4 linked regions of the Caenorhabditis elegans genome follow. The protein of the gene in region 2 purifies or fractionates together with the protein of the main gene of each other region. This does not show direct contact. Each region holds a gene or a part of one and is shown on either strand. Other genes may lie near its edges.

Evidence for each region.
Region 1: the proteins of alh-8 (region 2) and qdpr-1 fractionate together in Caenorhabditis elegans (co-fractionation; one large-scale study listed by BioGRID). This does not show direct contact.
Region 3: the proteins of alh-8 (region 2) and Y47G6A.21 fractionate together in Caenorhabditis elegans (co-fractionation; one large-scale study listed by BioGRID). This does not show direct contact.
Region 4: the proteins of alh-8 (region 2) and K01A2.5 fractionate together in Caenorhabditis elegans (co-fractionation; one large-scale study listed by BioGRID). This does not show direct contact.

The regions. Positions count from the first base shown.
Region 1 is NC_003281.10:13,388,795-13,395,503, forward strand, and holds qdpr-1 (Dihydropteridine reductase), read left to right. Parts: upstream 1-5,115; 5' UTR 5,116-5,124; coding exon 5,125-5,208; intron 5,209-5,266; coding exon 5,267-5,370; intron 5,371-5,427; coding exon 5,428-5,551; intron 5,552-5,603; coding exon 5,604-5,872; intron 5,873-5,926; coding exon 5,927-6,056; 3' UTR 6,057-6,185; downstream 6,186-6,709. Other genes in the region: T03F6.3 (Glucosamine-6-phosphate deaminase), read left to right, coding at 613-835, 889-971, 1,038-1,232, 1,617-1,919; dnj-17 (DnaJ homolog subfamily C member 21), read right to left, coding at 2,131-2,372, 2,429-2,736, 3,489-3,659, 3,707-3,837, 3,892-4,185, 4,230-4,541.
Region 2 is NC_003280.10:11,727,035-11,734,917, forward strand, and holds alh-8 (putative methylmalonate-semialdehyde/malonate-semialdehyde dehydrogenase [acylating], mitochondrial), read left to right. Parts: upstream 1-2,020; 5' UTR 2,021-2,044; coding exon 2,045-2,071; intron 2,072-2,231; coding exon 2,232-2,288; intron 2,289-2,342; coding exon 2,343-2,515; intron 2,516-2,562; coding exon of another isoform or gene 2,563-2,572; coding exon 2,573-3,080; intron 3,081-3,138; coding exon 3,139-3,588; intron 3,589-3,642; coding exon 3,643-3,999; 3' UTR 4,000-4,164; downstream 4,165-7,883. Other genes in the region: F13D12.5 (uncharacterized protein), read left to right, coding at 32-158, 205-415, 468-855, 903-1,002, 1,050-1,292; F13D12.8 (Col_cuticle_N domain-containing protein), read right to left, coding at 4,192-4,385, 4,643-4,789, 5,225-5,336. UniProt on the Caenorhabditis elegans protein: Probable malonate and methylmalonate semialdehyde dehydrogenase involved in the catabolism of valine, thymine, and compounds catabolized by way of beta-alanine, including uracil and cytidine.
Region 3 is NC_003279.8:3,554,870-3,563,255, reverse strand, and holds the start of Y47G6A.21 (DeHydrogenases, Short chain), read left to right. Parts: upstream 1-3,448; 5' UTR 3,449-3,459; coding exon 3,460-3,624; intron 3,625-4,227; coding exon 4,228-4,320; intron 4,321-4,687; coding exon 4,688-4,867; intron 4,868-4,924; coding exon 4,925-5,031; intron 5,032-5,094; coding exon 5,095-5,158; intron 5,159-5,853; coding exon of another isoform or gene 5,854-6,023; intron 6,024-6,082; coding exon of another isoform or gene 6,083-6,215; intron 6,216-6,259; coding exon of another isoform or gene 6,260-6,641; intron 6,642-6,709; coding exon of another isoform or gene 6,710-6,899; intron 6,900-6,969; coding exon of another isoform or gene 6,970-7,321; intron 7,322-7,374; coding exon of another isoform or gene 7,375-7,471; intron 7,472-7,522; coding exon of another isoform or gene 7,523-7,675; intron 7,676-8,386. Other genes in the region: Y47G6A.22 (DeHydrogenases, Short chain), read left to right, coding at 412-433, 486-718, 1,672-1,851, 1,903-2,009, 2,987-3,050, 3,104-3,262.
Region 4 is NC_003280.10:299,272-306,370, reverse strand, and holds K01A2.5 (AB hydrolase-1 domain-containing protein), read right to left. Parts: upstream 3,967-7,099; 5' UTR 3,957-3,966; coding exon 3,675-3,956; intron 3,616-3,674; coding exon 3,462-3,615; intron 3,251-3,461; coding exon 3,139-3,250; intron 3,019-3,138; coding exon 2,769-3,018; 3' UTR 2,712-2,768; downstream 1-2,711. Other genes in the region: col-69 (Nematode cuticle collagen N-terminal domain-containing protein), read left to right, coding at 841-1,014, 1,064-1,277, 1,564-2,187, 2,275-2,447; K01A2.6 (AMIN domain-containing protein), read right to left, coding at 5,604-5,705, 6,271-6,387; B0432.1 (Serpentine Receptor, class T), read right to left, coding at 6,636-6,806, 6,853-7,092.

The sequences.
Region 1 (6,709 bases), on a different chromosome or scaffold from region 2:
ATATTGTTGTTTGCGAAAATTCGGTCAATTATCAACAAATTGTTCGATAAGATAAGCATTGACTGCTCTTTAAAACTGCACATTCTGGCCAGTTTTCGTTTATTACGATTTTTGGAACGATTTCTGGAGTTTAAGAATTTTTTTCGATTTGCAATGAATAGAATTTCGAAAGTTGATGTCAAAGTGAACATTTTGACTTTTCTACAGTTCCGGTTCAGCAGTTTTTCCGGCGCCAAAAATAGGTTAAATGCCGCGAAAATTGTCAGTTTTGTCTCACTTTCGAAATTTCGAAACATATTTATCAAGAACGAGGCTGTCATTTTCAGTATTTAAATTTGATTCGATTTCACTATTTTAACTTTACCATTTTTCCTACATGGCGCTCTTTTGGAATTCTTTGAAATTAAAAAAAAAATATTATTTTGAAAAAAATAATTAATGAACAAGTGTTTTCCCTCCAAGACGCAAGAATTATTTTTCTGTGTGCGCCTTTAAAACTTACAGTAAACCAGACGGTCAAATTTCTTCATTTTTATTGAAATTATTCAAAGTTTTCTGATTTCTAGAAATTTCTTTTTTTTTCCTAATTTTCTAATTTGATTTCAGCCCAGAATGAAATTGATTATCGAGGAGAACGCCGATAAAGTCGCCGAATTCGCTGCTCGATATGTCGTTACAAAGATCAATGAAGCGACTGAAAATGGAAAATATCTCGTCTTAGGACTGCCAACCGGCTCAACTCCACTCGGAATGTACAAGAAACTCATCGAATTCTACAATGCCGGAGTTATCTCCTTTGAAAAAGTGAAAACTTTTAATATGGACGAGTATGTCGGTGAGAAAAATTTGATATTTCTTTAATTAGTTGAAATTAATAAATATTTCCAGATCTTCCACGTGACCATACAGAATCGTATCACTCCTTCATGTTTGACAACTTTTTCCGACACATTGACATTAATCCAGCTAATGTAATTTTTTTGATTTTGTTGTTTTTTTTTTTTCGCCAAATGTGGTTCCAAAGTCAATAATTTCAGATTCACATTCTCGACGGAAATACGTCTGATCACGAGAAGGAGTGTGAAGAGTACGAGCGTAAAATCAAAGAATCTGGCGGAATCGATTTATTTGTCGGTGGAATTGGTCCAGATGGCCATATTGCGTTCAATGAGCCCGGAAGTTCGCTGGCAAGCCGTACACGTATCAAGACCCTCAACGAGGATACAATTCAGGTGCGCGCCAGAAAAATTCTCAATGGAGCGCGCCGTGTTGTGTCGATTTACGATTTTTCTTCAGTTTTGTCGGAAAAAATGTTCCATTGACAACAATAATCCGACGAAATTGAACGAAATTTGTTGGAAAACGTCAATCATCTCGTAAATTGACATGTCACAGCGCGCTCCAATGAGAATGTTTCTGACGCGCGTTTGAAAGTCGTCTTAAAATAATTGAATTTTTCGCGCTACATTGACAATTGCCTGCTGGAAAGTCGTGTACTCCACACGGACAAATACATTTAGCGTTGCAACTAAACCCCGGCCTTGGCCGAGTCAAAATGAGCCAGAACCGCGTGTGCACATAGATATTTGGAATCAGGAGTAAAATAATAATTCCAGGCTAACGCTCGTTTCTTCGGTGGAGACATCACAAAAGTGCCAACACAAGCTCTGACAGTCGGCGTCCAGACTGTAATGGATGCTCGTGAAGTGATGATTCTCATCACAGGATCACACAAAGCGCTGGCTCTTCATCAGGCAATCGAATGCGGAATCTCTCACATGTGTACGGTCTCTGCGATGCAGATGCATCGATGTGCAACGTTTATTGCCGACGAAGATGCCACGTTGGAGTTGAAAGTGAAGACGGTCAAATATTTCAAAGGATTAATGAATCATCATCGTTCACTTGTCATGTTTTAATCTGTATTACTTTTTTTCATGTACCCTTCCACTAATTTTCACTGTAACTTTCACTGTAACTTTGAATACTAAATATTGAACATTTTGGTACTCATTATTTGCCCATTATTCTTCCCGAAACATTTCAATAAAATTGAATTTTGAAAAATATTTATTAAACTTTCACAAACAAAACAATTAGAACAAGAATAAATACCAAAAAAAAAATGTTTCACCAATCCTCATCATCCCCCTTATTTCCACGTTGTCCCTTCTTATTTTTCGCCTTCTTCTGTCCTTTTTCTCCTGGTTTGTTGATGAGCAACGTGGCGTGTCCGGTTTCTTGTAAATGAGCAAATAACCTGGTCCGGCTATCGAATACCTCACGGCATTTATCACAAATTGCAGATTTTGGTTCAGTTGACTTCGGTGCTTCTTCCTCTACTGTCGCCGATGGGTTTTGATTTTTATCAGCTGAAAACAAAATTTTTGTTTTTGTTTTAAAGATTTTGCAATTCTACAAAATGTACCTCTTCTCTTCTTTTTCTCTTTCTTAACAACTTCCGGGGTACATTCCTTTTCCTCTTCCTCCGGCTGCTCATTTTCCACGGGCGGCGCTTCCTGAATCTCGGCTTCTACTGCTTCTGTTTCTTCCACATCAAATATTCCATTCCCCTTTTTCCTATCCTTTCTCTTATTCTTCTTTCCTTTCGGTGTTTCGTCGGGTTTCGGTTCTGCTTCGGTGAAAATCGTGGAATCTTCTTCTTTCATATGCTTTTTCAGCTCATTCAGCTGACGGATGTGTTGCTTCGAGTTCTCATGATTCAACTTGGCGTTTCTGAAATTAAGTTTGAAGAATATTATAGAGATGAATATAATCAGACTTTTGAAATTGAGGTGCAAGCGCGCTCCACGGACAAAAGTTGGGTCTCGTTAGGTAGTGGCGGTAAATCCATAATTTTAAACGTTTTCAATATTTTTTCGTATTTTTTGTCTCTCACTTTTCTTCAAGGATTTTCATTTTTTTCTAAAATAATCAAAAAATCAAAAAAATTATTTTTCAGAAAATTGACACACAATTTCAACTTTTTTATAAAGTTTTGTATATTTTGATAAGAAAAATTAGTCTTTTTTCTTTTTTTTTATATCGGAAAATTACATATCGATTTTTTTTTAGTTTTGGTTCATTCCAATTCGAAAAAAAAATTCTCGATGTTTTTTTAAAAATTTTTTCAATATTTCAAAAAATTTGATTTTTAGAAAAATGACCTCAAATTTTTCAATTTTTCTTCTTTTTTTTCATTTTTTAAACGTTTTATTTAGATTTTTCGATTTTAAAAGATCAAAAAAAAATTTTTTAAAGGAGTTCCGATAAATCTATAATTTTCGTTTTTCAATTCTCAATGTTTCGATTATTGTGCATTTTTTAAGCTTTTTTTTAAACAAAAATCGTTTGAAATTAAGGTTTTGCAGCCAATGCCTAACAAGACCCAACTTTGGAGGCGGAGCGATTTAATTTTTCCGTGAAGCGTACTTGCATCTCCATTTCAAAAATGGCATTTTTCTGCGTCTTTATAATATTCTGCTTACACAGTTTTGAACGATTTGCTACAAACAACACAATATGGAAGTTCTTCTCCTTCTTCATCACATTCATCACTACAAGTATCGTAATCCTCGGCCATTTGTAGACTAACTTCAATCAAATGAGCAAGACGGGCTGCCTCGGCTTCTTTGTCGTTCAGATATGAGTTGGCTAGCCTGAAAAATTCAATTTTTTCCTTATTTTTCACAATTTCGGAACTTACTCTTGATTTTTGGCGATCTGCTTTTTTCGATTATCAGCTTGTTTCTTATGTGCTTCCAATTTTTTTTGCTCCAAAATTTCCCTATATGCTTTGACACGTGGATCACGTTTTCGAACAAAAGCGACCAGATTCTGAAAAATTTTGTTAAATTTAAATTTAAAATTAAATATTCCGGACAATCATACCCTAATTTGCTCGTTCCTTTCCTGCTTTCCGACATCCCTAAACTTCTTATTTTCCTGATCGATTTGCCGTGATTCGAATCGATTTGAAGCCTGTGTGATATCATAATGATCCAGCCAGGCAAAAGAGCGAGTTGTCGAAAAAGAGCTCCAAAAACCGTAGAAACCATTCACAGTTTGCTCCAAATCGGTATCCTTGTCGCCAAACTCTGGATAGACTATTGTTGAATCGTTGTACGCATCATATTCCTCAGAAACTAGGATATTGAAGACTTTCCGGTAGACAGTGAAGAAGCCCTGTAATTTATAATTTTGATTTACTTTTTAGATTTCATTCTCACATTTTTATCGTTTTCATATCCTTGATAGCAAGAAGCGGTGAAATAGGGGAACAAATCCGTGGATTGTTCCTCGAAATCCGTATTTTTTCCCTTCAGAATACTTTCTCTATGTCTATCGTAAAATTCGCGTTCTCGTGGATCACTCAAAACGTCGTACGCAGCTTGAAGAAGCCTAAATTGCTGAGTACACTCTTCGATGCGATCCGGATTTTTGTCGGGATGCCATTTGAGCGCTAGTTTTCTGTAGTTCTTTTTGATTTTATCGTCATCAGCGTCGCGTTCAACTTCGAGCACTTCGTAATGGCATTTCATAGCTGAAATATTTAAAATTTACTCTAAATATGATTTTATTTTATAAATTGAAATGAATAGTTCATGCGAAACCATTTAAATAATAATAGAAACAAGAAAAAGAATTAAATGAAAAGAAAAAGTTATCTATCGTCTCTCCTTTCCACACGATGTCTCGCCATCTACATTAGAGCGCAATTGTAAAAAAATAATTTCCTATATTTTTTCCCACGATGTTTTGACGAATTCTGAGAAGCTAATTCACATTTTCCTGTTGTGATTCATATTAAATGTTGTTGAGCTAAATAAGAGCTATCGATTGATATGTCTGCCAAATTTCTTGCAAAAATATAACTGATAAAACTCTCGATAACAAAAGTTCGTTTCGAGTTCAAGCTCGGAAACCGATTTCCAAAATGTTGTTTCATCTTTATTTTCCTGAATTCCATCAAGTTTTCCCTCATTTAACATTAAAAATCTGTGTCTCTGATCACTCGTTGATACCAGTATCACATTAAAATCGTCCTTGACGTCGTCCACGCGGCCAATTTGTCCTTCAACCTCCATATTGTCATTCTTTACTTTTTCCTTGCAGTTTCGAACAATGTCCAGTGGAAAAGTTATCGTATACGGAGGCAAAGGCGCACTTGGATCTGCTATTCTTGAATTCTTCAAGAAAAATGGTTATGTAAGTTTTAAAAGAAATTGAATTAGGATGTTGTAAATTAATTTTCATTAATTTTCAGACTGTTCTAAACATCGACTTGAGTGCCAATGACCAAGCTGACAGTAATATTTTGGTGGACGGAAATAAAAATTGGACAGAACAAGAACAATCCATTCTCGAGCAGTAAGTTGTATTTTTAATTTAAAAAAAAGCTACCGTAACCTCATAAAATATTTGCAGAACTGCTTCATCTCTCCAGGGAAGTCAGGTTGATGGAGTTTTCTGTGTTGCCGGTGGATGGGCTGGAGGCTCCGCTTCTTCAAAAGATTTTGTGAAAAATGCTGATTTAATGATCAAACAATCGGTAACATATATTAATCCTAAACATCTGGTATTATTCTACCGTGAATTTTCAGGTCTGGAGTTCAGCAATTGCAGCCAAATTGGCCACCACTCACCTCAAGCCGGGAGGTCTTCTTCAGCTTACAGGAGCTGCTGCTGCTATGGGACCAACTCCATCAATGATTGGATATGGTATGGCAAAAGCTGCAGTTCATCATCTGACATCTTCATTGGCTGCCAAAGATTCGGGATTGCCTGACAATTCGGCCGTTTTGACAATTATGCCAGTCACTTTGGACACCCCAATGAACAGAAAATGGATGCCAAATGCTGATCATTCAAGGTAAAATTAAATTACTCTTTTTCTTTTGCATAGTTTTCTATGTTTTTTTTTCAGCTGGACTCCACTCTCATTCATCTCTGAACATCTTCTCAAATGGACCACAGAAACATCGAGCCGTCCATCTTCCGGGGCTCTCCTCAAAATAACCACTGAAAATGGAACATCGACTATCACTCCACAATAATTTTACCGACATTTTTCAGCCTTTTTTACATTCCGCTTATTATCTGTTATTTTTCCATGTAGTATGCTATCAATTTCTAAATCATTTGTCCATAAAGCTTGTGATGTTTTTAAGTAAAAATGTTTTATTATCTAGATGCGAAATATTGCAATTTTTCTGCTGAAAATACGGTACCGGTCTCGACGCGACAATTTCTTATGGTTTTTTTTTAGTTCCCTATTTTCTTTAAATTTATAGAAAATTCTACGGCAACAAAATGTTACAAAATTACAGTACTCCCTAAAGGCGCATCCCTTTTCGAAGTTAATCAAAGTTTGTCGTGTTGAGACCGAGTACCGTATTTTCGGGGCAAAAGTAAAAATTTGCTAGAAACTCGCAAAAGATTTTATACAAATTACGTTGAAAATAACTTTACCAAAATATTATGAATTCAGAGAATGGAAAATATACCTTGGAAGGGGCACACCACTTTTGCGATGGGTCCTGAAACGATTTTAATTAAAAATCTACAACATATTGTTCATGCTCCTTTAAATTACCGAAAAATTGTTTTTTTTTTTCGTTTTCTTTTTCAGCGTATTATTACATAATTCTTGTCCCAAATCTTTAGTTTAATTCGTCAATTCTCACCATATTGATATGACAAGAAAACA
Region 2 (7,883 bases):
CGAAAATAATTTAACAAATGTTAATTTTCAGCGAGCCTATTCCCTACCGCTTTGTCGGCGTTCACCTGGTCCGAGATCCGGATGGCATCCATGCGCCGAGGGTGTTGACTGTCACAGAAGACAGTCTCACCTACAATATCAAGATCACGGATTTGCATGTATGCTTATTATAGTGGTTGAAGTGTTGAATTTCGTATTTTTTAGATGTCGAATGGCTTCGAGAAGAACTCCGGGAAGCGGGAGGAGAACATTGGGTCAAGAGAGTCGATCTACCGCGAAGACGGGGCTCGAGGAAAGGCGAAGAGAAATCTGGCCCGTTCAATGTTCGACACGACTCGACACATGCTTTACCTGGACTTTTCAGCTCCTCCATTCTACGATATCGAGCAAATTTACTTGCATGGCATTTTCAGCGGTAATCACTTGCTTAATAAGCCTGCCTTTTAATCATAATTTTTTATTTTCAGATCGATTCGACAAGCTGCACATCGCAAAGTACACTGGCCACGCTGTGAATGGACTGTTCGATTGGGTCGAGGATCCATACACCGATGCAGTTTACTACAAGGAGCGAATTAATGGCCACGTGGAGATGTTCCAAGCAAAAATCAAAGATGTCGTGCCGATTATCACCGGAAAAATGGCTGGACGACGAATCGAAAATTCCTTGTTGAGCGGCGAACTCCAAGGTGTCTCGAACGGAGTATTCTACGAGACGAGTGTGAGAGATGTCAACGAAACGCATCAGACCCTGTCCTCAACGCTGACAACACTCGATTCGGAATGGAGTATCACTTGTAACGCGGAGACGATTTACAGTGTTGTTCCGAAGACCAACAAGCTCCTCATCATCAGGTTTTGAAGAAATCATCGATCTTCGAATTTAATATTCATAATTTCAGGGCCAACGATTATTGCATGTTGAGAGATGGAAAGAATTACAACAAGGAGAGCTGTGAAAACGAGCAGGCAGACTACCTGGCTCGCAATAATCCGTCTGAGGTGAGCTGGTTGTGTTGAAGAAATTTATAAATTAAATATATTTCCAGACCGACAGCAATGTGAACGCGATGATGTGGCTGATCGTGTTCTGCGTCGTCTTAATCCTTCTCGTGATTCTCCAGTGCGTCTACATCTTTTGGCTCCGATCGTCCTTTGTCTCGGCTGACGAGGCCTCTCATCATCAGGATCAGGAGACTGAAGCCTCCATCTTCATCGCGAAACAGCGCAGCTTCCCAGCGAGTTTCCATGAGCCAGGACTTTTGGATGTCTCCGTCGACAAGTGGAATTAAATCATTTTTATTTGAATTTATAGCATTCTCGTTCTTTTTCAATCTTTTCTAGCCTTCTATCCTTCTAGACACTAGACACTGTCATATTCTCATCTCATAATTTTTAATTTTTTACTTTTTTTTTTGTCACATTTCCTAGCACTTTCTGTTTCTTTTTTTTATATAAAATTAAATATTCCGCATTTTTATTTGTTTTAATTAATGATCTTTATCTTAACGTTGTTTATTCACCAACACTATTTTATTTTTGTATTCGAGTTTTCGAGACGCATCGATCACGTTTCTCCAAGTGCACACGGGTCAAATGGTGGGCAGTTGCAGGTCTCTCCACGTGCTGTGGCCGTCTCTTAGTCTCTTGCACTATCACTTTTCCCACTCTCTGACTCTTTTTTATTTCTTTTTCTTCTTTTTTTGCTGAGAGAGAGAGAAAAGCAACTGTTCTTCTTCTTCTGTCCTATTTGCCACTCCTCCCGTCGTCTTATCAACAGCATTGAAACTTCAAAAACTCGCAGATAGAGCTTTTAACCTTTTAATTTTCAATGTTCGCGTGTATTTTGTGGCTTATTTTATTTATTTCTTAGTTCAAAATTCGAAACGTGATCAGTAATGTTTAGTTTTCATTCATTTCGCATTATCCGAATCGTCAGAACCACCACGCGACCGCCCATCTCTTGTGATTTTCAATTTTTCTTCTCGTGCGTTTTCAGTCATTATCTTCTAATTTTCAGCTCTAAAACTTGCGGTACCCCAGAATGTTGTCTCGTCTTGCTCGTGTTCAGGTAGGAGTTTCTTTTTATAATATTTTTTAACAAAAAATCGTGTACTTCACACATCACTTGCAGTCTGTGCGACAGTTGTCGTATGGGGTGACACATTGAAAAAGAAAACGAAAATCAAACAATCAAAACTTCAAAACTTCAAATAATATTCTAATTTCAGCCAAAATGCCAACAGCTCGCCCACTTCAGCACATCGAAGTCTGCTGCCGCCGCACCAGTGAGTTTCAGGCTTGATCTTAAGTTTCCAAATCCAAATTCCATAATTTTTCAGACTGTCAAGCTGTGGATCGATGGACAAGCTGTTGAATCGAAGACCACCGACTTCGTGGAGCTCACCAATCCAGCCACCAACGAGGTCATCGCTATGGTGCCAAACGCCACCCAAGCTGAGATGCAAGCCGCTGTTGACTCGGCCAAGAATGCCTTCAACACCTGGAAGAACACGTGAGTCTTGAATCCCGTGTGATCTTTTTTTTTTATTTCAATAATAGAAGTTTCCAGATCCCCACTGACCCGTCAACAATGCATGTTCAAACTTCAAGCCTTGATCAAGAGAGACATGAAGAAGCTCGCTGAGAGCATCACCATTGAGCAAGGAAAGACCCTTCCAGATGCCGAGGGAGACGTCAGCAGAGGTCTTCAGGTCGTCGAGCACGCTTGCTCCGTTCCATCCCTGATGATGGGAGAGACCCTTCCAAATGTCTCTCGCGACATGGACACCCACTCCTACAGAATCCCACTTGGAGTCACCGCCGGAATCTGTCCATTCAACTTCCCGGCTATGATCCCATTGTGGATGTTCCCAGTCGCCTTGGCCACCGGAAACACTATGGTCATCAAGCCATCCGAGCAGGATCCAGGAGCAGCTCAGCTTCTTGTCGAACTTGCCAAGGAGGCCGGAGTTCCAGATGGATGTGTCAATATTATTCACGGACAGCACTCTGCTGTTAACTTTATCTGCGATAACCCAGATATCAAGGCTATCTCATTTGTTGGAGGAGATGCTGCTGTAAGTTTTTTTGAATTTGTTTTTTATGAACATTAATCAATTTTCATGATTTTTTCAGGGAAAACACATCTACGAGCGTGGAGCCAAGAACGGAAAGCGCGTCCAATCCAACATGGGAGCCAAGAACCACGGAGTCATCATGGCTGATGCCAACAAAGAACAGACCCTCAATCAGCTCACCGCTGCCGCCTTCGGAGCCGCCGGACAACGCTGCATGGCTCTCACCACCGCTGTGCTCGTCGGAGAAGCTCGCGCCTGGCTCCCAGAACTCGTCGAGAAGGCCAAGAACTTGAAGGTCAACGCTGGATGGAAGCCGGATACCGACATCGGACCACTGATCTCCAAGCAATCCAAGGCCCGTGTCCTCCGTCTTATCGAGAGTGCCAAGAAGGAGGGAGCTCAGGTTCCACTTGATGGATCCAATATCACTGTTCCAGGATTTGAGAATGGAAACTTCGTGGGACCAACGATTCTCGCTGGAGTCAAGCCAAATATGACTTGCTACAGAGTAAGATTTTGTTTTTTTTTAAATTTGTTTAATTTAATATTTAATTTTTTGTAGGAAGAAATCTTCGGCCCAGTCCTTGTCGTCATGGAGGCCGAGAACTTGAACGAGGCCATCGAAATCATCAACAACAACCCATACGGAAACGGAACGGCCATCTTCACCAGCAACGGAGCCACCGCCAGAAAGTTCACCAACGAAGTCGATGTCGGACAAATCGGAATCAACGTGCCAATCCCAGTTCCACTCCCAATGTTCTCGTTCACCGGCTCGCGTGGTTCATTCCTCGGAGATCTCAACTTCTACGGAAAGGCCGGAATCCAGTTCTACACTCAATGGAAGACTGTCACTCAATACTGGAACGAGTCGCTCACCGAGCTGAAGCCACAAATGTCGTTCCCACAGCTCAAGTAAATTGAAATTCTGTGAATTCTGAATTCTCTCATCCATCCCCACACACAATCACTTCTTGGTTCTTTTATTCTTGTTCAATAACGTTTATTGCCATGGTTTTTTGCAACCTCTCATTTCTTGTTTGTTCATATATAATACACATTTTATCATAAAAGTGACGATTAGACCCGTAAATGGAATGGGGGAAAATAATCACAGTTCAGAGAGAATCGTATTCGAATGATTGAAATCATAATCAAAACGTGGATAGTAACTATTCGGATCGGCAATCTGTTTATCATTCCGTTTGGAACGAGCCGCCGTGGGTTCGTCGATTTCCAAATCCGATTCCTCATCCTCCTCACTATTTGAAGTTGGATCTAGCGTGACGGCGATTATGATTATACCTGGAAAATATAAAATATTATTGGGACGTAGAAAAAATGCCCAATCAACGTGAAAACGCCCTCCACGGCAAATTGAAAACGCTCCGCCTCCTAACCGTGGGTCTCATTAGGTATTCTACCAAAATTCAGCATTTTCAATTAGCTTCAAGTGGTAACTTTCAAGTTACCAGTTTTTCCTAACGAGACCCAACTATTTGAGGCGGAGCGGTTCCAATTGGCCGTGGAGCGCATTTTCTGCGTCTTCATAATAATCTAACCTGTGATAAGAAGAGCAACACTGATAAGTGATACGATAAGCACCAATGCTACCGAAACGGACATCGACTGTGGTGCATTGTTGTTGAATGGACTGGCGACCGTCGGCGACGGGATCGCGCTGTCCAGAATTCGGCGGGCTTCCTCGTCTGAAAAAATATTTTGAGGAATATTGTTGAATTTTGTAATTTTTTCACCAAAAAATACGGTACTGCTAGGGTCTCGACGCGACCGGAAGTTTTCTGCAGGAAAATTGTGTGCGCTTTTAAAGACTACTGTAGTTGTGAAATTCTCGCTGAATTTTTCAAAATCGTATTTTTCATAAAATATTGATATATTTCAGATTTTGTAAAAATTCATTTGCGAAGATTGCGAAATAACGGGAAATGGGTTACTGTAATTTTAAAGGTGCATACTTTTTGTTGGGTAGATTTGAAAATATTTTGATCGCGTCGAGACCTTTTTTTTATGAAAAAACGTAATAACTTATAATTTTCGATGTTTTTTTAACTCTAAATAAGTTTTATAAAATTTTGCGCCTTTAAACAACTGGTTACTATAACGAAATTTCGAAAAAAGCCTACCATTTGCATCAAAAGCGATCACAATTTTGGAATTCGCATGTGAGACGGCCAAATAAATGAAGGCGACAAAAATGAAACAGGTCAGTAGAATAATACGAACCACGCAACGCATTCAATCATGAGCAGGTGCTGAATGTTATGACGATCAATCTGGAAATTGAGATGGAATTTTAGGGAAACAAAATGAATTATATCTCCTTTCCCATTGTAGGTAATAAAAAAATGTAGAAAATGTAGAAAAAATTGTGTACTACATTTTTCCAGTTGACAGTTTTTGTCTACCTAGCCTGGCAATAAAGTTATGAGCGTTTGAAGACAAGAAGAATTTGTCATACGAGAGAGGGGAAAGGCCGTCGTCGATACATAATGAATATTGGCCCAATCAATTCGGAAGTCCCTACTTCGCATACAAAACATATGGACTCGTCGAAGCAGAACGGGACTGCTCAACTCGGAGCACACATGCACACAGAGCAGGAGAGAGTCCATTAATTTTGCGGCGGGCGCCTCGCCTTTTTCTCTTTTCTCCTTTTTCCCTAAAACATTCTCGACTAATGATGAATGGGAATGACAGGAGAGAATGCAAATCCGTTCGGGAAAATGGGATTTTTGGAAGAAAATTGGGTACGGGTACTGTAGCTTCTAATCCTAGGTTATTAGGGAAAAAACGGGGCTCTGTAATTTGTTTTTCAATTTTTAGAATAAGGAAAATAAGAAAATAATTAGGATCTGTATTAGGCTTTTGACATAGGCTAGGCTTACGATTACGTTTGGGCTTGGGCTTAGTCTTAGGCTTAGGGTCAGGCTTAGGCTTAGGCTTAGGCTTAGGCTTAGACTTAGGCTTAGACTTAGACTTAGGCTTGGGCTTAGGCTTAGCAATGAAGCCGACGATAAGGTAAATTTATATAAAAGCCAATGTTATAAAACTCGGCCACTGTCTTTTTGTGGCTGTTAAAAAATCTATGTGGCCGCGAAAAAAATTAGTGGCCGAGTTTTTCTTTCTTTCACAAAACTGATATCAAGTTCCTGTTTTCTCAAGTTGCTAAATTGCCATATTTTCGCGGACACGTAGCATTTTATTAGTGGGCGTGGCCAAACGAGACTCCAAATGCCGTTTTTGTTTTGGCCTGGTAATCGCAATCCCGTCGGGCCGCGGAAGTGAAAACTCGGCCACAATATTTGCTTTTTGTAATCAGTCAAAAAACTCGGTCATCGATTTTATTTGCGGCCCCGTAAGTGGTGAGTCCAAAGCGAAAAGTCGGGAAAGTGCAAGAAGCGAAATTAATTTAATAAAAAAAAGGGACAGAGTTCATCAAATTGAAAATTCGATAGACTGACAAAAATGACTTTTTTTGAGGAATAGGAAATAAAAGTTAATTAAAAAAGTTTAGAGCTTTTGCGAAATGGCCGAGTTTTCGCATGAACACGCACTTTTCAGCAGAAAAAAGTACAGACTAATGGAAAAATATTCAAATTGTTCGCACGCATGTGTAGGAGTATTTCCGATAATTGTGTCAAAAATCATATGCAACTTTAGGTTTCAAAAATTTCCAAAAATATATGAAAACTTCCGAAGAAAAATTTAAATTTCCAATGAGAACATTTCAAAAATTCTGCAAAAAAACCGGAAACCCCCGCTCGGAAGTTGTGATATCTGCAGTTCGCAACAAAAAATAGATAGCTCCACGCCCTTCCATTTCCGGCGGCGGGAAATTGAGTTTGAGTTGTTTTGGAATAGGAGGAGGAGATGAGAATAGACATACAGATAATGATCATGTTCTTTTAGTTTTTTAGTTCGGGGTTTTCGGCGATCTAGGCATACTGATAAGGTTATATACATTTTGGAAACTGACTCGGCCATTTGGGAAATTTCAAAGTTATTGCCAAAATAGTGAGTGTTCGAAAAATTAAGTTTTATATTTAATTAGGAAATCATGTGCATATTTATAATAATGATTACTTTATTTTATTTTAATTGTTTTAATTTTGTGATTAATATTTTGTTAGTTTGTTTTGGAGATAAATTATTTTAAATTAGAAAAAGCACATAATCGGCCCAATTTTCTCCGAAAAATTTTCATATCTGGTCAGTGGAAAAAGTTATCAAAAAGTTGCCAACTAAGTAATTGTTGCAAATTTAATTTTAAATAGTTTGATAGTTATTATTTTTTTACAAAAAATTTAAGCACAAATATCATATTATAACGTTCCAAAAATTGAGTATTTTTAAACAAAATTTTTACAAAAAATTGACACCAGATTCCAAAAAAATCAAAGCTAAAAACGTAGACCATCCTACAAAGAAAACCTTTGAGATAAAGTAGAGATAGTTCTAAAAAATTGCTCCAAAAAAGTGCATAAAATTGGTTGCAATTCAATCCTCCCACTCTTCTAGAGTGTCTCAGTGAGTGTCGATTTTGTAACTCGATAATACAAGGACACCGAGCACAGAATGACCACTTTTTGGAGTTTTCTAAGCTTAAACTTTCATCATGAAAACTGCATTACAAAGTAGGTACGTGAAATATTCAAGATGGACAAGAATTTTGAGAGTAAATAAAGAAAAGGAGCAGAAGATGATGATGAGGAATATGGAAAAGAAGAAGATGAAGCCAGGGGGTATATGGGAAAGAGAGAAAGGAGGTTAATGACATTTGAA
Region 3 (8,386 bases), on a different chromosome or scaffold from region 2:
GTTTTGGAATTTTCATTGACACAGTACTCTTTGAAGGCGCACATCTTTTTACATTTAACATACATTTATCGCGACGAGACCAGGCACCGTAGCTTTGGCACAAAAATAGCAATTTTTTCAAATATCAACTACAGTAACCCACAGTTTGACATGGATTTTGAAATAAAAAAGTTTGCGCGTCAAATGTGATGCATTGAGTCATGTACCTAATGCACCACAGTTTACGCGCAAAAAAATTTGGAAAAGTTGAACTCCTGATGTGTGATGTGTTATCAGGAGCGGAGAAAACAAAATTTGTATTTTTCTCTGGGTCTCGTTTTTTTAGGATGCCGTTTATTATTTGTTTCAAAGATTTTTTTTTCAATTTTCAATTTTCAATTTTAATTTTAATTTTGATTTTGCAGGTCAACCATGCCCGTCGCAATTGTCACAGGTAATAATGACTCTAAATACTTGAAATTCCATTCCTCTCCCCTCTTTTCCAGGTGCAAGTTCTGGTATTGGACGTGCGGCGGCTCTTCTTCTCGCCCGGAACAACTACAAGCTCTCACTTACCGGACGGAATGTGGCGGCTCTCAATGAGCTCGCCGGGCAAATTGTCAGTGCTGGAAGTGATAAGAATGATGTACTGGTGACCGCTGTTGAGTTGGCTTCAGAAGAAGCTCCGAAGACTATTGTGGATGCGACTGTGCAAAAGTTTGGACGAATTGACACATTGGTGGGGGGTTATTTTTGGAAAGTTATAATAAAATTTAGAACTATTACGGGAACATAAAAATAAATAAAATTCTGAGAATTCGTACTGCACAACATATTTGACGCGCAAAATATCTCGCAGCGAAAACTACAGTAATTCTTTTAATGACTACTGTAGCTCTTGTGTCGATTTACGGGCTTGATTCTCATAATCAAGATAATAAAGCCCGTAAATCGACACAATCGCTACAGTAGTCATTTAAAGAATTACGGTAGTCTTCGCTACGAGATATTATGCGCGTCAAATGTGTTGCATTACGCATTTTCAGGATTTTGTGTTCCCGTTATAAAAAATTTTAGTTCAAAATTCTTTTTGAAAACGTAATAATTGCGAATTTTGTAAAAAAATGCACAGAAAATTATCCAAATGTGAAGTTTTGCGACTACTATTGCGTTACAAATACGGTATCTGGTCTCACCACGACTAATTTTTGCAACTTGTAAAAAGGTGCGCGCCTTTAAAGAGTACTGTATTTTCTTTTGTTTCTGCGGAATTTTCATCGAATTTTATACTTTTCGATAAAAAACTGTTTGAAAAATTAAAATTTATATATAAAAATCGAAGGAAAATTTGAAAAAATTCTGTAGTATATGCGAGTACTGTAGCTCAGTTTTGCACCCAAATTTAATTATTTTTTTTAAAATTAAAATTATTTTTGTCGCATTTCACATTAAGATTCAGAGATCTTAGAATTTTTATTTTTTAAAATTTTTTGAGAAAAAAGTTTGCGCGCTTTTTTAGATACTTTTTTTTTCGAATTTTCCAAATTTCTGCCTAAAGAGTTTTCTCATTTTTATTTTCGAGAAAAATTGCACCAACCTGTAAAAAGAAAATATGGGGATAACGAAAACATTTAAAAAAACTCTCCAACCGATTCTTGAATTATTAAACCCTTAAAATATTCTAAATTTCAGATCAATTCGGCCGGGATTCTGCGTGCCGGACCAGTTCTCGATTCTGGAATTGAAGTCTACGATGAGCTAATGAATGTGAATGTTCGTAGTTTGATCCGCCTGACACGTGCAGCTCTTCCACATATTATTACAACAAAAGGAACTGTTGTCAATGTCAGCAGTATTAATGGACCGTGCCCTGTATGATGTTATTTTTTTGTTGAAAATAATTTTCAAATTCGCAATTTTCAGTTCCCAAATGTAACCTATTACTGTATGTCCAAGTCGGCCGTAGATCAATTCACAAAATGTTTGGCTCTCGAAATGGCTCCGAATGGAGTTCGTGTTAATGCTGTTTGGTGAGTTTTCTCGCGATTTTTGCCAAAAAACTACGGTGCCAGGTCTCGAAGCGATCGATTCTCTTTAAGGAGTACTGTAATTACGATTTTTTCGGTTTTTAGGTTTTTTAAAGAAATATTCGAAAAATAAGAAAACATATACATTTCTTCCAAAAAGAAGAAAAATTGTCAAAATTTCAAGATATTTTGCGAAAAATCGGAAAAATATTTATTTTTGAAATCGAAAATATTTTTGGCTTTTTTTTTTTCGAAAAATCGAAAAATTATCGGAAAATATGAGTAAGAACGAAATCACAAAAAAAAACTAGGAAAATTTCCTGAAAATTCTAACTTTTTGCCGAATTTTCATAGGTTTTCTTGTTTTTGTTCAAATTTTGATGCATTTTTATATTTTTTGAATAAAAACGAATTTTTTAAAAGACAGGAGCTAAACTATGGAAAATTGCTTTAAAAATCTCGCAAAAACTAGGAGTAAGTAACTACAGTACACTACAGTACTCCTTTAAAGGCGCACGCACTTTTGAATTGAAAAAAAAAAGATCGCTTCGAGACCGGTTACCGTATTTTGGTGCAAAAATCGCTAACTTTCTCATTTTTTGTCGAATGAAACGCTAACAACACACGTATTACGGGAACACAAAATTTTGGGAATTCGTCTTACGCAACATATTTGACGCGCAAAATATCAAAACTACAGTAATCCTTTAACTGACTACTGTACTGCTTGTGTCGATTTACGGGCTCGATTTTGGAAATTAATTTATTTTCTTCGTTTCTTCGTATTATTTTCTCATTTTCAATAATCTTTTGATAAATAAAAAAACCCGTAAATCGGCACAAGTGCAACAGTAGTCATTTAAAGAATTACTGTAGTTTTGATATTTTGCGCGTCACATATGATGCGCAATACGCATTCTCAAAATATTGTGTTCCCTTAATAAACCCATATAAATTTGTCATTTCTCCAAAAATTTCAGCCCAGGGGTCACCGTGACCAACCTGCATCGTACATCTGGTCAAGACGAGACAACATATTCTGCGGTATAAAACCTGCTGCACTGACCTTGACAAATAAATATCATCATTTCTTTCAGTTCTTGGAACGTAGTAAAACGACACACGCACTCGGCCGTCCCGGTGATGCCAATGAAGTTGCTGAGGCAATCTATTTCCTCGCCTCTGAGAAAAGTTCATTCACTACTGGAGAACTTCTTCGTGTTGACGGAGGCCGCGGAATCATGCATCCGAGATAAATATTAGCTTTTTTGTCTCATATTGAGATTGTTTTGAACTTTTATCATGTAATAAATAGAGAGATACATGTATTTTTTTTAATTGTGTTTTTATTGAATCCTTTATAGTGGTTTTTTCCTTGCTTAATTTTTTTTTTTTTTGAAAAAAAATCGATTTTTTTTTGATTCAGTTTTGAATTTATTCAGAGTATCCGAAAATGCCAGTCGCCATCATCACCGGAGCAAGTTCGGGAATCGGAAAAGGCACGGCTCTTCTGTTCGCGAAAAAAAAGTACCAACTCTCGCTGACCGGAAGAAATACGGATTCTTTGAAGGAAGTCGCAGCACTATGTATTTCAGAGGGTGCAATTTCGGCTGATGATGTGAGTTTTATATTTTAGGAACTGTGACGGAAAGTACAGTATTACGGGAACACAGAATTCTGAGATTGCGTATTGCGCAACATATTTGACGCGCAAAATATCTCGTAGCGAAAACTACAGTAATCCTTCAAATTACTACTGTAACTCTGGTGTCGTAAATCAACACAAGCGCTACAGTAGTCATTTAAAGAATTACTGTAGTTTTGATATTTTGCGCGTCAATTATGTTGTGCATTACGCATTCTCAGAATTTTGTGTTCTCATGATAGCAGTTATCACAAAAAAATTTCGATTTTTTTTCCTCGTTTGTAATTTTTGGAAACACCGTTTTTTTGTCGAAAAAACAAAAAAAATTATTTTTTTAATTAAAAAAAACCGCCGCCATGGTCTTGACACATACAAAAAAAAATATTAAAACTCATCGAATATCAAGAAGTATACTAAAAATCATTAAAAATTACAAACACTTGCAGGTACTGTAGCTATGAATTTTATTATGTCGTTTCGAGACCAAAAATCGCAAAATTTTGCAAAAAAAGGGGATTGAACGTTTTTAGGTGGAAAAAATAGCGACATCAATTAAAAAATCGATTTTCATTCCAGATTCTGATAACTGCAGTGGAGCTGAGCTCTGATGAGGCGCCCAAAGCAATTGTGGATGCAACTGTACAAAAATTCGGAAGAATTGACTCATTGGTGAGGATATTCAGTTCGAAACAATTTGAAACTATCGAGAGAAAAGTTTTTCGGAAATTTAGAGTTTATCCATTTATTATTTACAAAATTTTCAGAAACGCGTACATAGAGGATCACGGATTTATTCGGTTGGGTCTTGCCACGAAAAATGTTTTTGCGCGGTGAGACCCAACTAGATAATTGCGTGCGCCTTTAAGTTCGTATCCCAGGAACAATTGCGGAACTACAATAGGTTTTTTTTCAATTTTATGAAGTCAATACTATTCAAAATTTAAACTTGAAAAATAAAAAACTTCACTTTTCCAGGATCCATAGTTTTTTTTTCGAGAAATTTCCCATTCTACCCTTAAAATATTCTAAATTTCAGATCAATTCGGCCGGGATTCTGCGTGCCGGACCAGTTCTCGATTCTGGAATTGAAGTCTACGATGAGCTAATGAATGTGAATGTTCGTAGTTTGATCCGCCTGACACGTGCAGCTCTTCCACATATTATTACAACAAAAGGAACTGTTGTCAATGTCAGCAGTATTAATGGACCGTGCCCTGTATGATTTTTCTTTTGGAAATTAAAAAAAAATATATTTCGAATTCGCAATTTTCAGTTCGCTGGGGTCACATATTACTGTATGTCCAAATCGGCCGTAGATCAATTCACAAAATGTTTGGCTCTGGAAATGGCTCCGAATGGAGTTCGTGTTAATGCTGTTTGGTGAGATTTAAATATTTTCATATTAAGAGCCCAAAAATTGAGAATAATTAAAATAAATTTCAGCCCAGGAGTCATTGTAACCAACATTCATCGAGCATCTGGGCAGGATGAAGCTACATATGCGGCAGTAAGTCTATTCTAACGACACGCAAGAAGTAATGGGCGGAGTCGGAAGCGCAACTCCGCCGCACGATTCTATTTTAATTAAAATTTTAACTGTTTTTTTAAAATATTCACAGCAAGATCAAATAATTAAAGTAATTCTAAAGCAAGATTTCGATTATTCAACCTGACAAATTAAGATAAATTGATTGTTTGATTTTTAAAAATGCGGAAAAATAGACGAAAAACAGTGCGGCGGAGTTGCATTTTCAACTCCGCCCATTATTCCTTGCGCGCCCTTTTCTGTGGGTCAAATTCTACACAGCGACATTACGGGAACACGAAATGCTGAGAATGCGTACTGCACATCATATTTGACGCGCAAATTATCTCGTAGCGAAAACTACAGTAGTTCTTTGAATGACTACTGTACTCGGTAGTTTGGCTCCCTTGGCGCGCGACGAGGGTGCGACTGGCGCGCGGACGGGGCGCGACTAGACTACTGTCTCGCGATCTAGTCGCACAATTTTCGCGCGCCGAGCGCATTTCTTTCGCACACACTACGCGCCCGGTTCGATTTTTTTCTCGCTCCCGCCGATTTTCATATTAAAATTGAAATCTTAGATTAATAAGAATTGCGTTTATTACAACAACGAACAATGGAAAAATAAAATTAAAAAATTAACGGATTGAAGACAGCTTGGCTGCAGGTCAATTGAATCCTAGACGGCGAGAGACTGGTGTTGCAAACCAGCTAGAGCTACTATGGCAGCGCCGAATGTGATTTTGGAGAGAAGATTCGAGTCGTTGAGGTAGAAAACACGACGGAGATGTGGATAAACTGCCATCATGGCGAGCTGCTCGAAGATCGGTGAAGAGGATTGACCAATCTGAAATATTAAGACGGTGAAACCGCAGTTGAAGCTTATAAGCTTATAAGCTAGCCTACATTGCCCGTCGAGAACTTGATTGGTTTCGGGAGCTCAAATTGTCTACAGAATTCCTCCGGCGGCACTTCCCAACGCTGGTCAACTTCTTCCCGTTCAACTTTTGTGGCAATCATGACACACGGCGTTTTTGTTCTGTAAATATTGAAATTATTGGGAATTGGATCTTGAAAACCCACCTATAGAAATATTTCTGATAAACTGTGGCGCAGAACGCGAATGAATTCGAGACATCATAGAGGAAAGCGACGACGGCCGCCGACGTCTCGCCGGACCCCAGCGCATCTTGTGGTGAGAGAACATCAACTTCACGCAGAAGCAGGTACTTGCTCTCCTCTTTCACTCGGACACGATTGATAACGAATGGAGAATGACGACGTCCTATTTGTGCTACATCAGCCATTCCACGTCCTGCTAGGGATTGCATGAAGACTGTTTTTCCAGCGTCCTTGGCTCCGACTACCAGGCATTGGAAGACTTTTCGGTCGGTTCCATGGTTTTCTAGATCCTTCTTCCGTTCACGAGTCACTCTGATCGAGTCGAGTGTATTCCCAGCACGACCTGAAATTACAAAAACTGAATAAAATGAATTTTTAATGAAGATCTTTTTTTTCAAAATTTCCACCTGCCTGGAATTATATTTTTATTGAATTGTCATTTTTTCGTGCAAATTCGTGCAGTTTTAGGTCCGCTTCTCCTCCTTTATATAAAATTTAGTGAAAATCTCCAATTTCGCGGACTTTTACGTGCCGAAGTGATCGGAAATCAGTCAAAATTGGACGGACAATAACGGAAAAACGAGGGATAAGCAATCAAAAGCTGAAATAAAATGTATTTTATTTTTTATATTTTAACCGACATCTTTGGTAATAACTGGAACCGGGCATACTGAGAAGAGATTCTGAAGTTCACTCGGAGAAAGACATCCATCGTTGTCTCGATCGCAAATTTTGAAGACTCGAATCAGTGCTTTTCTGGCGCGATCTGTCAGTTGTTTGGTGTCTGCATCGTATAATGGCCTTGTTGGGTAGATCACAGCTTTCTGGGCGTAGTAGAAGATTTCTGAGACGTTTTTCATCGTGCGAGCCGAGCATTCAACGCAAGTTTCGACTTCGGTGTTTGCCTCCATTATGGGGAGAATCTTATCAGTATTATTTGCAGTCCCATCTGATTTGTTGCCTACCAAAATGACCGGAGTCTTATGGTACTCTCCGAAGGACTGGCGAATCAAGGGTAGCCACCTGAAAATTCAAAGTTATTGATTTTTTAACAGATAATTTCAATGAAAACGTACTTTGTTTGAATTCCATCAACAGTGGACTCGTCTGTAACCGAGTAGACGACACAAATGACATTCGCCTGGCGGATTTCCAACACAATCCAATTTTCATCTGAAAATTGATTGAATTATTTGATTTACATGTTTTTGGCAATTTATTTACCTTCTTCCTTAATCGATAAGTCCACGATACTCGTACAATTCCGAAAAGCTTGATTTTAGAGATACTTTTGTTATTGATGGAACAATCGGTGAAAATTTCACGGTCACCATATTTAACTTGAAGAAAAGCCCTGAAACTATACACTTTAGGCATGTTACTGTACAAAACAAAAAGAAAATAATATTTTTACAATGTTGGAAACAATTAAATAAAAATTATCGAAAATGTGCCAAAAAATTATAAACTGCAAGCGTAATAACGGATTGTCGTTCGTGTTGCGCGGACGGGGCGCGGAAGGGGTGCGGAAGGAGTGCGGAATGGGCGCGGATGGGGCGCGGTCAGAACGCGGACGGCGTGCAAAAACAGTTTCTCTTCGCGAACCTGTTACTTTCAGACAGCCTCATTGCCAAAACAGGTTGATATATATATCTTCACTTATATGTTATATATGTATGAATGATGTAGTTGATATATAATAATTGCCAATCTAGTCTCTTTCAGCTTTCAGTAATATGGTGCCACAATACTAAACGTATAAAATACAACAACGAGACATGTGATCCAGAAAATTAGTTTGAAGATGTTCACACAAACTACACATATATATTTTATATATTTCTATTGGAAAATATACCTGGCATTTAGGGGAAACTTTCTTAGGGATGTGTGCATCGTGCCTCCACAATGCCAATGCTGCGAGTTTCCTAATCTCAGATAAACGTGTTAGCTTCTATTTAGAAGGAATAGACCTATTTAGTAGAATCGGAAAACTAATTAGAGCTAAATAGAAGAACTAGTTCTAAATAGATCAGGGTTTGATCTAATTAGAACAGCGTAAAAATGGCAGATCTATTTAGACCTAAA
Region 4 (7,099 bases), about 11 Mb from region 2:
GCTACGGTGCCCTCGCCGGCCTCCCGGCGTCACTCACTCCGCTTGTATCCGAATGTATGTAGCGGTGCGGTACCCCGAACACGTTAGGCCCGCATTTTGCGTCTCACTTAGCTGGGAACCCTAGCGTGGTCTGACAAACTATTTGAATAGCTTTTAATCATAAAACGCTTAAACTTTATTTCTTGAAAGCTTTTTGAATTTTTTTTTCAAGAAGGGTGAAAAAATTTCAGATTTGAAAAAGGATTCAGTAAATATATTCATCCCGAAACATCGAATGAGTCTTGAAATCACTGAAACATGCATTGAAAAAAATTCAGAATACTGTTAAAACATATGCTTTAAATGAGATGAGATTCGTTTTGAATTCTGCAAGTTAACATGCTTAATTCCCTATTTAAATGTTAATGGAACTCATTTTGCACTTTGAAATTATGTTTATATAACTACCTGAAAGAAGAATCGTATTAAAATTCCACTATCAATTTTTATCAACTCACTGCCATTATAGTGGTTATTGACTAACTGGCGCCACGTTTATTCATTGATAGTGCTTTCAAAATCTTAATGATTCTTCCTTTATTAGGAATAATTTGGTTTCCGGTGGAACTTTTTTTTGTCAGAAAAATAAAATCAAAAATCAGTTTGTTAAAAAAAATTCTACCAATTGAAATATAATAAGTGGTATACATATGCCAATTGAATTTCCAAGTACTTTTCGCGCATTGAAAAGATCCGGATTTTCCGTTCCAAAACCTTCACTTTATGCGCCGCCCGTCTCTATTTTCAGCAGGAGAGGGAGTATATAAAAGACTAGTTCTTGCCGCAAAACTTCATTAAACCATGAATTTGAACCAAAGTTGTTCACTGAAAAAGTTTCAATTATCTACAGTAATACGTGTGTCTTTCATCGCTTCGTCCCTATTGATTTCGTTATGTCTGTTTTTGATTATGATGACGTCACGGGAAATCTCCGAGTTCCGGGAGCAGACTCTGGATGATTTAAAAGAATGGAAGGTTGGTCAGACTTTTTATTTGCCTGCACCTGGACAAAAAAGTTTTCCAGTACTTCTCCGACGCCGCGTGGAATGAAATGACGTCACTGACAATTCGAAAAGCCAGAAGTCCATCAACGACAGGAAACTCTGGAAATGCCGGAAAACGATTCTGGGCAAAACGATCTTATGATAGTTATGCTCCGCAGCAAGTGAATTCGTATGCAAGAGTGAATAGTTATGCGACTGCACCCGTTTTACAGCATCCAACACAACAGCAATGCAGTTAGTTTTTTTTCTTCAAAAAATAACATCCATTTTGCGGGCGGAGCTTGGATTCTGTGAGAATTTTCGTTTAAAAAATGGGAAAGCTCGTTCAGCAAGATACATTTGTGAGCGGAGCCTAATATCCATTTTTTGGGCGGAGTTTGGTCACAATTTGACTATTTGAACATCTTGTATCTCTTTTTTTAGAAGAAAATTATAATTTTATAGAATTTTGCGAAAAACGGAAAAGATAAAAGGGCAAAAACTAAAAACGAGACTACAAACTACAAAATTCAATTTTCAGATTGTGCCCCACAAGCCAACAATTGTCCACCAGGACCACAAGGCCCCACTGGTTACCCTGGAGCTCCTGGAGAACCGGGCTCTCGGGGTCTCGATGGACGTCCAGGAGCCAATGGTGTAACCCTTATAGCTTACGATCAAGAGATTCCAGGTTGCATACAATGTCCCCAGGGTCCACAAGGTCCTCCTGGTGCCGTTGGGCCTTGTGGACCTTCTGGAATTCCCGGGCTCCCAGGGAATCCCGGATACACCTCTCCTCCAGGACTTCCTGGGCCACCGGGGCCTTGTGGTGAAGCTGGACGGGAAGGTCCCAATGGTACACCAGGCCTTAAGGGAGAGCCTGGAAATAACTCGATCCGTCAGATATCCCTACCAGGCCGTAAAGGCCCTCCAGGACTTCCTGGTCAATGCGGACCACCAGGGCCACCTGGATATACACCGCCTCCAGGACCACCAGGAACACCTGGAGTTCAGGGAGAAGCTGGACAGGATGGAGAACCAGGGGTACCTGGAGTTACTGGCTATCCAGGAGTTCGTGGGCCACCGGGGCAGGATGCTGAATATTGTCCGTGTCCACCAAAGAACGCAGGAGTCAATCGGAATAGTTATGTGCAGCCGGCACCAGGTAGGCTACTTTTTTCCATTAAGTAGGCGGGGCTGATATTACGGCCTAAAAAAACTCAAATTTCAAATTTCAACATATTTTTTACAGTGTCCACAAGCTACGCCACAGCATCCCAAAGCCGTTACGTGTCAGAGTACAATAAAGAGGATGAGTACAGGAAACGAGTGCTGGCTCGAGTGCTCAAGAAGCAGAGACGACTACTTTTGGCGACAAGAGCAAAGAATGTTCGCCGGAAGCCTGTTAGTCACGCTAGTCCGTAATTATTTTTATTTTTGTGAAATAAATTTGTATAAACTTTTTCACGGACGTTTCCAGAAAGTATACTGTCCCAAAAATTTTAATTGGGCTTCGCATGGGCCCCGCCCACAAGGCTCGGACAGAAACCCTTTGTGAACGGGAAGATTTTTTTTCTGGAAATTTTAGAATTTTTTCTGAAATTTTCTTTTGGCAAAATTCCTAATGAAATCAGTCATTTTGTGGGTGGAGCTTATGAGTGTAATAGCGAAATTGCTTGAGACCAGGACGAATTTTTTATAAACTTTATTCTTCACAAAATACAAAATACAAATTTCATATATTTATCATTTCTTCTCCGTGCTCTTCAAGAATTCCAGAACCTTTCCGGAAAACCATTTGGGATATTTCAAATAAAAATCGTGTCCTCCTTGTGCATGAATCTCAACTTTTGCCAAACTCTTGAGCACTGGGATGAAGCATACATTCGGGTCACCACAGAACCGGTCCAATCCACCATTCATCACTAGTGTCGGGCATTTGACTTGTGGAAGTACCAGGTCACACGGGAAACGGCCACCGCAGAACGAGTGAACTCTGAAAATTCGTTTGGTTAGGTAGGAAGCAGACGTAGGTCGCCTTGAAGGTAGTTGGCAGACATATTTGTGCCTACAGGAATATACACAACTTCGCATAAGCCCCGCCCACAAAACTCACTGATCTACGACGTCACAAAGTGCCGCCCATTGTGTCCGGAGTGTTTCCGGCGAATAATGGTCCAAATATGGTTGACGACCGGCTGCTAGCCAATGATTTGTTTCACGCATTCCTGAAATTCCAAAAATTAATTTATAAAGAGCACAAAACCAATAGATGGCCACACCCATAAAATGGACGTTCGATTTATTTTCCCATAAAAAATCTTGTAGGTAGGTAGGCATAAATTGCTGCTTCTATGTGGAAAAATGGGCCATATTGGTGTCAAATTAAGAAATTTCATTAAAAAACAGTAATCTTCCAAATATATCTAAATATCTCACCCTTGAAAGCCATGGCTCCTAGATGATTAACTTTTGTTGCACCAGCCATTACAATCATTCGATTCACTTTTTCCTTTCCTTTAGCTGCCACGTGGACCGTTGTTCTAGCACCTTCTGACCACCCCATCACGGTGAACGGCTCTAGTTTCAGGGTCTAAAATTTGGAGGCTTTTTGAAAACGTAAAAATTTTAATTTCAAAATTAAAAGCTCACCTCCATTAACCCTAGGCAATATTCACTATCCTTCATACATCTCTGAACTTCTTGTTTTCGCTCTGGAGGTCTTGAGGTACCGTAACCTGGAGGATCAATCCCAACAATTGTGACCTGATCTGGTGGGAAATGAGAGAGCAATTTGAGTGGCCAATCTTTTTTATAGCAGCCGACAGCACCGCAAATCGCGAGAATGTAGTTCGGACCGTGGCCGTATTTACAGTAACCGATTTGAGTGTCCTTGATGTGTTCCGAACTTTCGATATAGTCGCTTTGAGTCATTTTTCTTTTGCTGAAATTTATTTAGGTGTTTAATTTGTTAATTATGAGGTAGCGACGGTGAGGAAATTTTCCGGATAATATAAATGTTTGAGACACCTTTGTGACCTTTGAGACCGCACACCTTTGAAGTACATCTCCCCGATTTCTTCTATCCTAGAAAGAGACGTAACAAGGGTCAAGGTTCAAATGTATTGCTAAGAGAACGCCTCTTGTGGTGTGGTAGTACTACAGTATTTACAACCTACTAGTACAGTAGGTCGTATATATTGTTATTGTCGATGATTTACAACCACCGGATTGACCTAGAATTAACATAGGTATTTGAAATCGGTTTAGGCCAAATAATTATGGTTCCGCGACATTTATAGAATTCGGAATTTTCTGAAGAGCGAGAACATGTATTGTGAACCTCTACAATATTTAAATACAGAAATGTAGAGTACAAAACATTGTTTTTTGATCGACTTCCAGAATTATGATACGTGAAAACTGATAGTGAATATTAAATTATTCGAAAATCGGACACATGGAATTATTGATCTCAAAAATTCGGTGAAATAGGCTAAAGAGGAAGGAAAACCAAAGAGGAAATTTTAAAAGTGCATGTATTTGAATGACGAATAGTTCTACGAAAAAGATTTTGAAAGTCCGATAGGAATGAGAAATTTGTAGCCTACAGATTAAGATTTCAGAAGGAATTTGGACAAGACCGGATTAATTTTGTGCCTGTAAGCTGCGGAAAGTTCTAGAACCATCTGGAAAATACGAGAAAGTTTTGGAATGTTCTAAAACCTTCTGAAAAATTAGATAGAATTCCGGAATGTTCTAGAACTATCTGGAAAATACGAGAAAATTTTGGAAGGTTCTGGAACCTTCAGAATAATTCGAGAAAATTTTGGAAGATTCTAGAAAGGTAATAAAAATTATTAAAAAAAACATAACCACTAAAACACCGAAACATCTAGTTATTTGTAATATAAATGTGTAGTTTCTAATAAAAAGGAACTATGAAACAGTAAAGTAAACCTTTTGATTTATACTGGGAGAGTATGCAGATTTCAATCTAGGATATGAGGGTAAATAGGGAATAACAGGTGAAAGTGTACAAACGCAGTCGGAGGAAGATGTTGTTAAGATGAAAGAAGAAGGAGAAGAACACAGGCACTTGGACACACAGAGGGAAATAAATGGGAAATGAAAGGGAAAAGGGATATGGAAGAGACAGAAAATTGTTCCTATTGTCTGAAGGTATTGTATAAAACCGCAAAGAGGAAATTGATGATCGAATCATGTGATTTTGCGGGGAGTGCTGAAAGCATTTTTTTCAGATTTGTCAAGCTTGGGTCTTTGATCTTTTAGGACAACACAGTTTTACACATCTGGAACAATGCGGCTTCACCCATGTTGTCGAACACAAATAAATTTTTATGAACCAAATTTAATCAATAAAACTTGAAAATTACAATATTAGAGAAAAACTTGAAGACGATTTTCTCATTTTCCAGTATTCCCTTGTTTCCGTGTCAATGTCCAAGACTCCACTTCCACTGGATCTCCAAGCGGCTCCCATTGATCCGTGAGCTGTCCTTGTCGATCTCTGAATACTCTAGCTCGTCTTAGGATTCTTCTATATACTGTCGCAGGGTACTATGTGTCGCAGTGTTCATTGGGGTCCTGCCGGTTGACAACTTGCACAGGGACTCTATCAAAGTTTTGATCATGAAATACAGGTAGTTGTTGCGCTGTTCCCTGGAAGATTGGATTGATTGAACAATTTTTTTAGCATCACCTTTTTAAAATATCAGTTTTTAACTGGTCGGTTAAAAAATCCATATATGCCTGCCACCCGATATCATCATTTTAGGTGACTAGCGGGCCTATGGGCCCGCCAGCCCTTCGGGAATGGGGATAGGGTTAATTCGCTCTAAGTTATTAGCAAGGTAGCTGGCGCAGGTTCTCGGCTTTGCCTCGAACCTGTTAACGGGTTATTCGAGATCTCTTTGAAATTATTTCAGGAGTGGGGTATATGTTTAGAAAACTTGACTATTCAGGTTTGAGGCTTCGCCTCGAAGCTCTTACTGTGTAAATTGAAATCTCTTTAAACTTTGATTCATTGCTCCAGGACCGACACTGTACGAATAACTTAGGCTGAGATTTTGTTCAAGAATAATTAGAATGTATTCAATAAAATAAGTGAACAAAAATTAGGAACAGAACCGTTTTGAATGTCATGATGTATAGGTTCCTTAAGAATAAAATATAATTGTTTCAAACTGACGGGTTAATAATGTTTTAATTCCCTTAATCCACTTACCAGATCGACTTCAAGAATCCTCCTGGAAACAATTCTCGACTCTCCGGACAAAATCACAGTTGGTACATTTTGACAAAAAGCATAGGAAATAAGTAAAACGATTCCCAGAAGAATCATAGCAGCGAAACTGAATGAGGAACTTGTTGTCAAACGATAATAAGCTTATCAGTTCGTAGACTAATGATAAGACTAACATGCTAACTGGTAGGCAGTTGCAAAACATCTAGAGGTGCTTTCCATTTGCTTGCAGGAATCGTCATTCTTGGTTTTTGGATTGTATGCTTTATTATTATTAATGTTGTAACTTAAATAAATAAACGATCAAATAAATAGAATTTCACAGAAATTATAACATCAAAATCCTTTCAATACTTTGCGGACACATTGAGCACCGGGATGGTGTTAGAGGTGCCGTTTCGAATGGAAATTTCCATTACTTGGCACATGAAATTCGAGAGATCACGGCGGACACGTGGTGTGAAGAGGAAGATGAAGATTGCATTGGAGACGGTTAGCATGTAGAAGACGACGAAGAACTGGAAAAAAAAGTTTGTAAGGGGGCTGCGAGCAGACTTAGGTTACCCATTCATGCATGAATATGATGATTCCCCAGGTGATAGTGAATGCCTCGAAGAGCTCGTACATAAGCATCCAGAATTGGAAAAAGGAGTGGATGATGATGAAGTAGAGCAGGGTATGATCATTTTTGTGGTATCGCTCATTTCTTGGAAACTCTCGGATTCGGAAACTTGTCATGAAAATGTAGACGTAGGTGATAGTTAGGAAAATTATAAGCCAGGCAATGATGATATATCTTTGGATCTGGAAA